2 linked regions of the Caenorhabditis elegans genome follow. The protein of the gene in region 1 interacts with the protein of each later gene in a biochemical or structural test. Each region holds a gene or a part of one and is shown on either strand. Other genes may lie near its edges.

Region 1 (4,920 bases):
TGGAAAATTTTATACTATGACGATTGAAAAATACTTTTAAATTCATAGACTCTCAACTGACCGCTGGATTTTTCGTTTGAAAATATTGAAGATGTAAGATTTCCATTGATGATCAAAAATTCAGAGTGCAAAAGAGCAAAGTAGCGGAGATTTAAAACGTCGCCTCGAGTTCGAAATGTGATTTGAAACAAACACTAAAATGTTCATCCCTCGTCCATTGTTTTCCTTGATATATTATTCTACTTGTCACTTACAAATAGACAGATCAGTGTCCGGGTTTGTCTTTTGTCTTGAAAATAGCATGAAAGAAAACATTAATTTAATTATTCAGTCAACCTTCCTTCATTTTGTAGGAGAATGACGGTGTACCGGATTCGAAAATTATTTATCTCAAGCTGCGTTCGTGTCTTTTTCAATTTTCTTTTTTTCTTTCTGCAACAATAAATTTGTCAGAATGTACTGCGAAAACCTTATATGACGGTAGACCGTGCCAGGGGAATATAAGTTCCCGAGACTAGACATTAATCATTTCTACGTACTGTTCTTGAATTTTGAACTCATTTAAGGTATGGAACTTTCTATACTCCAGAAATCTTTATATAATGCTCATGATTTAATAATTTATATAACGTCAAAAGGTTTTTCCTGATCTTTTTTCTGTTGCCTTCACCTCCGTTTCCTCACGTTTTCTTGTTCTTCTCCCTGCATAACTTTGAAAACAACACAGGTCTTTTGTTGCAGATGGAGAACATCATAGAACACAATGACAGCTTTTCAGCAATGAATGACACACTGATCTGTACATACTTCGAATGCTATATCCACATGTTTGCCATGGTGAGTTCAAAGCATTAAAATCTCGGGAGGTGGTTTTGATGACGCGTTGGAAATTTGGAAAAATTGCAAATTTGTGATAGAAGCCATAGGATCATTGTTTCAATTTTGATATTTGCCAAAGAACAGTTTAGGAAAAATTAATTGTTATCACTAATCGGAGAGCAAAATGTCTCAAGATATGAGATTAGATGTGTTGAAGCAACATTCTATTTTGAATATTCAAGAACATTGAACGTTTTTAAAGCACTTATAAACACTATTAATAGTAAAGTAACATCAGTGAAGAGGGGGGGGGGTTTGAATTTACAATCATGATAGTCTGACATGAACAAATATCATTGTGAAACACTCCAAACATTCTTAGATTTTTCAAAATATTCAGTAAAAGTTGTGGTGAATTACCAAGTTATCAAAAAGCATGGACGTTTTTTTTAAGCAACCTCAAAAGTTTGAACCCTTGAAATTTCAAATTGTATAATAGGACAAAAGTCACTGTCTAGACAAATTTACATCGAAAATATAATTTTCACTTGGTTTAAACACTTATGTGAAACTATCAAAGTTGGAGTATCATCAGTGGGAATATTATTTAATCACATTCATAATAGTCAAATATAATCGTGCAACACTTCAAAAATGCTCCGATTTTTCAAAAAATTTCAATCAAAGTTTTGGTAAATTGTCAAGTTTTCTAAAAGTTTGGACTGTTTGAGAAATTTCAAGCAACTCCGAATGTAAATTTTGGAAAATTTTGTCAAATTGGACTCGAAAAGTTTGCTATTATGATTTATTGTAGGGTACTCATGGGTTTTGTTACCCTCAAAATGTTTTAATTTTCTAAGTTACAATTAACCACAAAAACGTGAACTTTTTTGGAACGATTTGGAGAAACGAATGCTTTGTTCCGTACTTTTGTTTTTGTTTTTAATTTGAAAGGTGGAAAATTTAATTTTAGAAAATTAAAACATTTTGGGGGAACAAAACCTATCAGGACCTAATGTAGCGGCATATGAACAGTTTCAAACATTTTCCCCATTTTCGGAGTAGTGTCCCATTCCTCAAATGACCTAAATAATTCTGCAATTCTGCACGTGTACTTTGGGTGTTAGTTGCGTACGAGACTCTATTGGGAGCCGATCGTAAACCCGTTTTACGGCCTCACACTGCGAGTTAGTCTTTCAGAGACTCATCTATGTGTTTCTGACTGGGCACCAGTGAATCAGTATGGTGTCATTTGGGGGGACACGCGATGCACACAACTTGAAAAATAATTAGCTGATAGACAGGGGCACGCGCTACACAGTGGGCGGAACTTCCAACACTGATTTCACTAGATTTCCCCTTTCCCTCCCACTCCGTTTTGACTGGAACGAATATTTATTTTGTCGTCCAATTTTTCCTGCTATCTCGTTGTTAGAGATTGTCGCTGGGATAATCCGGTTGTGAATGGACGTTTGAAGCTTTTCCAGCATTTTGAACCGGAATCTTTTTTGCTTTCCCATATTTGCTTCCCTATTCGGGCTCGTTCCGAAACGTGAAAGAGTGAAAAAATGGGGAAATGGACGGAACTCGGATTGTCGGGTCGTGAAAATGCAACAAATGTCTCGTCGCGAGCCATAACTGACAAGTCCTTTTTGCAGTACTACGATGAAATTCATATTCCTCTTTCAATTTCTATCTGTATATTCGGAGCCGCTTCAAACGTCTTCAATATTATTGTGCTCACAAGGTAAGTTATATATTTCTTTATTTTTTACGGATGAATGTACCTGTTATTCCAGAAAACGGATGCGAACCCCAATAAACATCCTGCTCACAGGTCTCTCCATTGCACAATGGCTCCTAGCGACCAATTACTTCCTTTACTTATTGCTTGAGTATTATAGATATCAATGGTACGTCATGCATCAAATAAAAAAAACAATGTTCCAGTTTTTTGCAGTGTTCAATTATTATGGTCCGAAGCATTTACAAGATATAGATTCTTCAATGTCAACCTGAATACAGTATTTCATACAAGTAAGTATTTTTAGATTGGCAAGCATATTACTGTACTCAAATACTTTTCAGTTGCATTCACAACGACGATCGTTGTCGCAGTGTTTCGGTATTGTGCACTGAAGTTTCCAATTCAAGCGAATAGATTCATCTATAAATGCCAGCCAGCAATCGCAGCAAACGTTATCATTTGGATCATCATTCCTATCATCAGTCTTCCATTGTTTTTCATATCCGAGGTTTGTGTAGTTAATCTTCATATCTCGAATCTGATTTCATCTATGTTTCAGGTTAAAATTGTCGCTCGTGACCACGTTGCTTATGATTTGCAATGCGAAATGGAAGGTCCATTGTACGACCTCAGTTATCAAGAGAGTCCACTTCTCGTGTCCGCAGTTTTCTGGGCATTTGGTATTGTGTTCAAACTACTTCCGTCGTTAATTCTCTCAATACTACTCATTGCTCTTATAAGATCTTTGAAAAGCGTAGAACGAAGGCGTAAAAACTGGAAGCGTACACAAGGTGCCAACATTTGCACCAACTCCGAGAGAAAAGCAAAAAGAAAGTTGACGACCAGACCGCGCACAACACGAATGCTCGTCATCATTCTACTCCTATGTGTAATGGTTAGTCACTATTTAATGTCTGATCGTATGTGATTGCTGTATTGTTACGATTATTTATATTATTTTGTCTATGATTACCATGAAACGTATGTCTGATTCCAGGTAGAACTACCCATGGGTATTCTTAACTTGTGCGTGGCTATCTACGGTGAAGAGTTCGGAAATCGGTATTACGATCCAGTGGGAAATCTGATGGAAATGCTGACGCTGTTGTACAGCTCTGTTAGCTTCGTTCTCTATTGCACCATGTCCAATGAGTATCTCTCCACGTTCCGAGCACTATTCTTCCCATGGACCAGAAAGAATAGTTTAAGAGGAACTCGAAGTGAGTACTTTCAAACAAAATTGTAGGATGAATCATCTACTTGAGATAACTACATTTTACTCACAATTTTTTCTGACTAAAAAGTTCAATTCAAAATACAATTTTTCAGGAAGTTGGAATCATCGACATGACGACGAAACAAAGTCCCCACGAACTTTTCTGATAAATAGAACTGCGCCAAGCTCATATGTCGGGTCTTAATCTCCTTTGCGTAGTTATTCAATTCAACTATAATTCTTGATTTTTGTATTTATCCCGTTGTGAACTTCAATTCGTCTGAAAAATTTGAAAGTCACAAGTTTGAAAATGTGATTCTTGTTTATCTTGAAATCTTCCGAGAATGAATAAAACTTGTATTGTTTTACTAATATAGTGTGTTTTCTCTATTTGAACAGCTTTTAAAAGTTGGAAAACTGAAGTTTCAAAGTTAAAAATCAAAGTTATGAAAAAATAAGTGTTCAATGATTTTGTCTAATTGACTTTTTTTAAAGCAATTTTCTTTAGAATTTAAAAGTTTTCTAAAACCTTAAATATAATTTTTCAGCATACTTGTTAATTTTTTTAAATTCTAAATAGAAAAAATAGCATATTTATCTGCTACACTAACAAATTGAATCGCTTCTTAATCTATCAAAACAATAAAAATTGCAGTATTTTGAAGCGTTTGGTTTTTTTTTGTTGCAAAAAGTCTCAAGTGTTCATATCTTGACAGACAGTCTTAGCGGAATTTTTAAACGGAAAGAATAATATTTTCTGAACACCTTCAAAAGTATTCTCCTGTCAGTGAAGTTAATACGTAGACGTATAGCGATAAGAAGTTTTTGGGGTCACTTACGTAGACAATGAGTTACTACATCCCGGAATGCTTTTTTATGGGGTTATTCAAGTAGTGTCGAAAAATTAAAAAGGATAGAGAAATGACGTGACAACTGTATTAAAATTTTTCTCTGCTTCTAAACTTTCCGACACTACTTGAATAACCCAATTAATTGAAAAAATAATGGTAAATATTTTTCAGCCACTGAATTGATACGAGTTACAGTAACTCGTTATCCACATAACCAATGAAAAAAAGAATGTAATATGAACTTTTTCATACAATTCTTTGAGTTTAGCAAAAAGTGCACAGTAAAA
Region 2 (4,441 bases), on another chromosome or scaffold:
AAAAGCGGGTTATTGGCGCAGTGGTAGTGTGCTAGGTTGGTGAGCAAGTGACCGAGAGTTCACCCCTTGACCTTGCAGACAATTTTCTCAGTTCCAGGTTTCTATCGTGTCTCCGGAGATCAAAAGCTCGTCTTCCTCCAAGAACTCATCTCCACCAGATGCTCGTCTTAACAAAGACCATAATCTTGAATGGTGTGTCATTTTGGCACCCGGCCAACATCGTCTTCTCCCAGTTCGCTACACAATTGAGCATCCGGCTTCGGAATCGCTTTCCTATAAGTTTAATTAATCATTTTCCCTGATTTATTTATTTTCTGTTTCTGTGTATTGGTCGTATTTTTTGAGTACTAAAAATATTCAATTTGTATCAAATTACCCACATTTCTTCTCTGGTTTTAGTTCTTTCAATTGTTCTGTCTCAAAGATGATAATAAATGTTTTTTTTTGTTCTCGGAAAAATTGAGACTATTAAAGTATTCGTATTTATTTTCTAAGAAAACTACAAAGAAACTATAAAGAAAAGTATATGAAATTATAAAAACAAAGTGAAACAGTAAGTTTTTACTTCTGCATGAAGTTTTCAATGTCAATTGGATCTCCACTATCTTCCTGAATGCCTGAAAACTACATAGTAACCGAAATTTTCAAGGATCACGCGATTTTAAATTTGGACAGGGTCCGTCTCCTAAGGGGTGCGGCCACTTATGCTGAAACCCGGCCGATGAAGGATGCTGCAAACGTTCAACTACACTCTGAAACACACAATTTCACAATCAATTTTCAGCTGCTATTTTTATAAGAATTCATCAAAAAGTTGAAACAACATTTTCCAGCAGTCACCAGTCTAACAAAATAGTCAGTTTTATTCAAATCTCAATTTCAAGCTGATCAAGAAACAGGATTGTGGAGGTTTGGGGTGTCATCGCCACACCGATTGACAAACACATTCAGTCAATTAATAAAAGTTGTCCACACCAAAAAGAAAAAAATTATTAGCCCACGGAGGAAGATTTCTCGGAAAAAAAACTAGAAGGAAAATTCACGAACTGGGAATTTTAACAGGGGGTTGTGAATTTTTGTAAATTTAGAGAAATATTGGTACCCAAGAGAGTAGGAGTTGCTCAAAATGTTGGTTGAAAAAGGAATAAATGGTGGGAATTTGAAAATCAAAAAAAAAAAATTATTTTCCAAAGCGAATGTACTGGCTCTTTCTTTTTTCAGTAATCTGTGGCTCCATTCCGAATGATCTTCCAAATCTGACAAACGCTGATTTACGCTTTTCCATTTCCTGAAAAAAAAAGTTGGAGGCTTACAAAATGGGATTTTTAACATACCATAGCCTCTTCCTCTGGAGCAGATCTCTTTCCGAATCTGACAAAGGCGCTCTTTCTCTTTTGTACCTCTTGAGCTCCGGCTTGCTGTTGATTGTTGATTCCTGAAAGTTAAAAAGTTTTTTTATAAAAGATTCTTTAGTAGAATAGCTCCGGGAATGATGCTGTAAAAAATTTCAAAAAAAAAGTTCACTGTTTCAAATGTTTTGTAACATTTTTCATTTTTAGGGGTCTCACAGTCAATTCTTTTCAATTACCAAATTTATATGCGAAAAAAAGTAGAATTTCAAAATAGAAAATGAAAAAAGGTTCAGAAAAATTAGGTTGAAATTTGACTTTTTCATAGCTTTTTTTCATCGTTTTCTTATTTTATTTGGATGACAGACCCGACCTACATAAATGCTCTAAAAATGCTCTGAGCTCTAAAAAAATGCTCTAAACCTAAAAAAATCTGCGGTGGGATAATATTAATAATTTTAAACAACGAGACATTTTTTTGCTGCTACGAAAAATTTTCAAATGTGACCGAAGTAGTCACGAACTTAAAAAAAAATTCGTTTTATTATTATCATGGTTGTTTTCACGGACTAAAAATTGAAATATTTCTATATTCTCTGAAATGCGACGTTACAGAGTCATCATTAGAATGAGGAAACATTACCATCTTTATGAAAGGCTTGAAACGGTAAAATAAAATTAAGATTCTTCAAGAGAACGTGATAAATTAAAATTAAACGTTAAAATTAATGTTTTTTTCCGTTTTACGAAAACGAGAAATAACGACTTGAGAGTTTGAATTCATTAGTAACGTTTTTCTATAAAACTACCAATAAAAAAGAAAAAAAGTCGAATTTCTATCACTCATGATTTACAATTTTAATATTGTGCTCTAATCCTAAAAAATCTATACTTTTCACAACTATTTTTTTCAAGAAATTTCACATTTTCCATTAAATCTCTCAAACTAGAGGAACTATCGAACAACGTCCAACTAAAAAAAATATTCCAGCCGACTCACCATCTTGCAAAAGATACTGTAACTCGACCAAACTGCCTGTCAGCTCTTCTTTCAGTCGGCACATGTGGAGTGTTGGGAACTTCTCGCAAAACTTTTCCGACTGAATTTCCTCCATTGAAGCGGCCTGGGAGGATCCCGAAATTGTGAGCAACAAACAAGTGGTGAGCACTAGTTTGGAGAGCATCTGGAAAAATAAAGTTTTGCGGAAAATATTTCCACACAGAATTTTTTTAAAGGAAAAAAAATGGAAACACAAAAAAATCATTGAGAAAAAGTAACAGAAAATGTGTGAAAAATGAATGAAAAATCTGAATTTCCCGTGTCAATTTATAGCTATTAGCCCCTTCCTAATGCATTTCCGGCTCCGAATTTCCGATTGAAATCACTGAAAAAACCGAAAAATCTTTCAAAAATTCAGAAAATCCGAATCATTTCCTAATCAATTTGACAAGAAAGCACGGGAAACTTAGAGGCTTCTGAGAAATCGGATACGGTATCCGGAGCTGAGCACGCCTCGTTGAAAACGTGCCGAGAACACGGACGTAAAGGTGGAATGCTCAAGCTCCGCCCAGATTTGGTCTGATGATGTTTTTGGTGAATCAACTTGTCACGAATGTGCTTGCCTACCACATGCCTACTGCCGAAAAATAATTTCTATATTTTTTGATTTAAATCTTTAAAAAGGTGTTGGTAGCTACACTGAGCAAATATCAAAACTCCGAGTTACCGTCGAAATGAAGAAAGGCAATAGTTAGGCATAGAGGCACCAGGTAGGCAGGTAGGTAGATATATGAGTAGCTATCAGGCAGGCGGGAGTGTTAGTAGTGGAATGTCATAAAGCAGGTAAGCAACATAGCGGTAGGCATTATGAAAAATCCCGAAAAATAATTTATTTTGCAAATACCCCCAAGGAAGCAATAAATAATAATTTTTGTAAATACTTTAAAAAAGTTCAAGCCCGCTCCATTTTTCGCAAACTCCGTGATATTTCGGAAAATTATTTCTCAAAATTTGAATGAATGATGGATTAGAAGACGGTTTTCGAACATATATTCAAAGCTAACGTACTGTAATTATTTGGAATATTTTGTGAAGTACGTATTAAAAATTCCGATTAACAAAAAACATTTAATAACTATTCGAAAAATAATAACATTGTCTTTTTCAATAAAAAACGCATTTTGGAAAAAATTAAGCAGTTTTTAGAACCTGATGGATACTTAATTTATATGCTTTCAGTATATAACTTTTTTTTCACAATTTTAAGGCATATTTCGTTTTCCAGTTTGCATAATGAACGAGAGATTATTTGACACTTTTGAAACAAAAAAAAACAAATAAAATTTTTTGTTGAAACCGAATATTTTAAAAATGTTCTGTTACTTGAAACTTATTCCAAATTTTTCGAAACTGTAAACTGTTTTGATACTTTTTTTTGGCCAAGACAGTTCTCTTCTAGAATTTCTAATATAAAACGCTTGGAATATTAACGTTTTCATATTTCCAATGAAACGCTGCCTATTTGTTTTATTTAAAAATTAAAATAAAAACTTTTAAAATCAATCAGAGAAAAAACTACTAAACATACAAGCTGTTTTTTTAATGCTCTTCAATAAATTTAAAAGTAAATTTTCATGAAAAAATGTAAGCTCCGCCCCTTTTTCGGAAATCTCCGAAAAATTTCGGAAAATGCAGAATTGAATGAATGAATGATGGATTAAGAGACATTTTGCCGGTTTTATTTTTGAATTTTTTTTCCTGTTTCAACGAATGCTACAAATATGGCTGGTTATACTGAAACAATAATAATTTGCCAATATAAAAATCACTCGTTGTAACAAGTGTTTCCTAATGTAAGTAAAACATATTTTAAAATAAACCACCTGAAACAGTGATTTTATTTATTTAAACGATTTGTTCCGTTTTATTTGAAATTGATGGATCTATAACATTGAATTCTGTATAAGTTACAAACCTAAATAGATAATGGGAAACAGTAAAATTTTCAAAAGTATGTTCAAATTTTTAGAACTTTGTAAGAATCATTTTTCTACATCCTTGCAGGTTCCGAAAAAAAATCGAGAAATTCAAT

The links.
Region 2: of the proteins of egl-6 (region 1) and flp-17, one has a biochemical effect on the other in vitro, tested with the Caenorhabditis elegans proteins (2 studies listed by BioGRID, with this or other methods).

The regions. Positions count from the first base shown.
Region 1 is NC_003284.9:5,930,381-5,935,300, forward strand, and holds egl-6 (G-protein coupled receptors family 1 profile domain-containing protein), read left to right. Parts: upstream 1-2,205; 5' UTR 2,206-2,387; coding exon 2,388-2,566; intron 2,567-2,618; coding exon 2,619-2,732; intron 2,733-2,779; coding exon 2,780-2,856; intron 2,857-2,907; coding exon 2,908-3,074; intron 3,075-3,125; coding exon 3,126-3,461; intron 3,462-3,563; coding exon 3,564-3,786; intron 3,787-3,895; coding exon 3,896-3,987; 3' UTR 3,988-4,152; downstream 4,153-4,920.
Region 2 is NC_003282.8:17,189,359-17,193,799, forward strand, and holds flp-17 (FMRF-Like Peptide), read right to left. Parts: upstream 2,534-4,441; coding exon 2,350-2,533; intron 2,155-2,349; exon of another isoform or gene 2,134-2,154; intron 1,973-2,133; exon of another isoform or gene 1,949-1,972; intron 1,592-1,948; exon of another isoform or gene 1,571-1,591; intron 1,436-1,570; coding exon 1,335-1,435; intron 1,289-1,334; coding exon 1,181-1,288; 3' UTR 846-1,180; downstream 1-845. Other genes in the region: C52D10.3 (DUF4140 domain-containing protein), read left to right, coding at 98-289.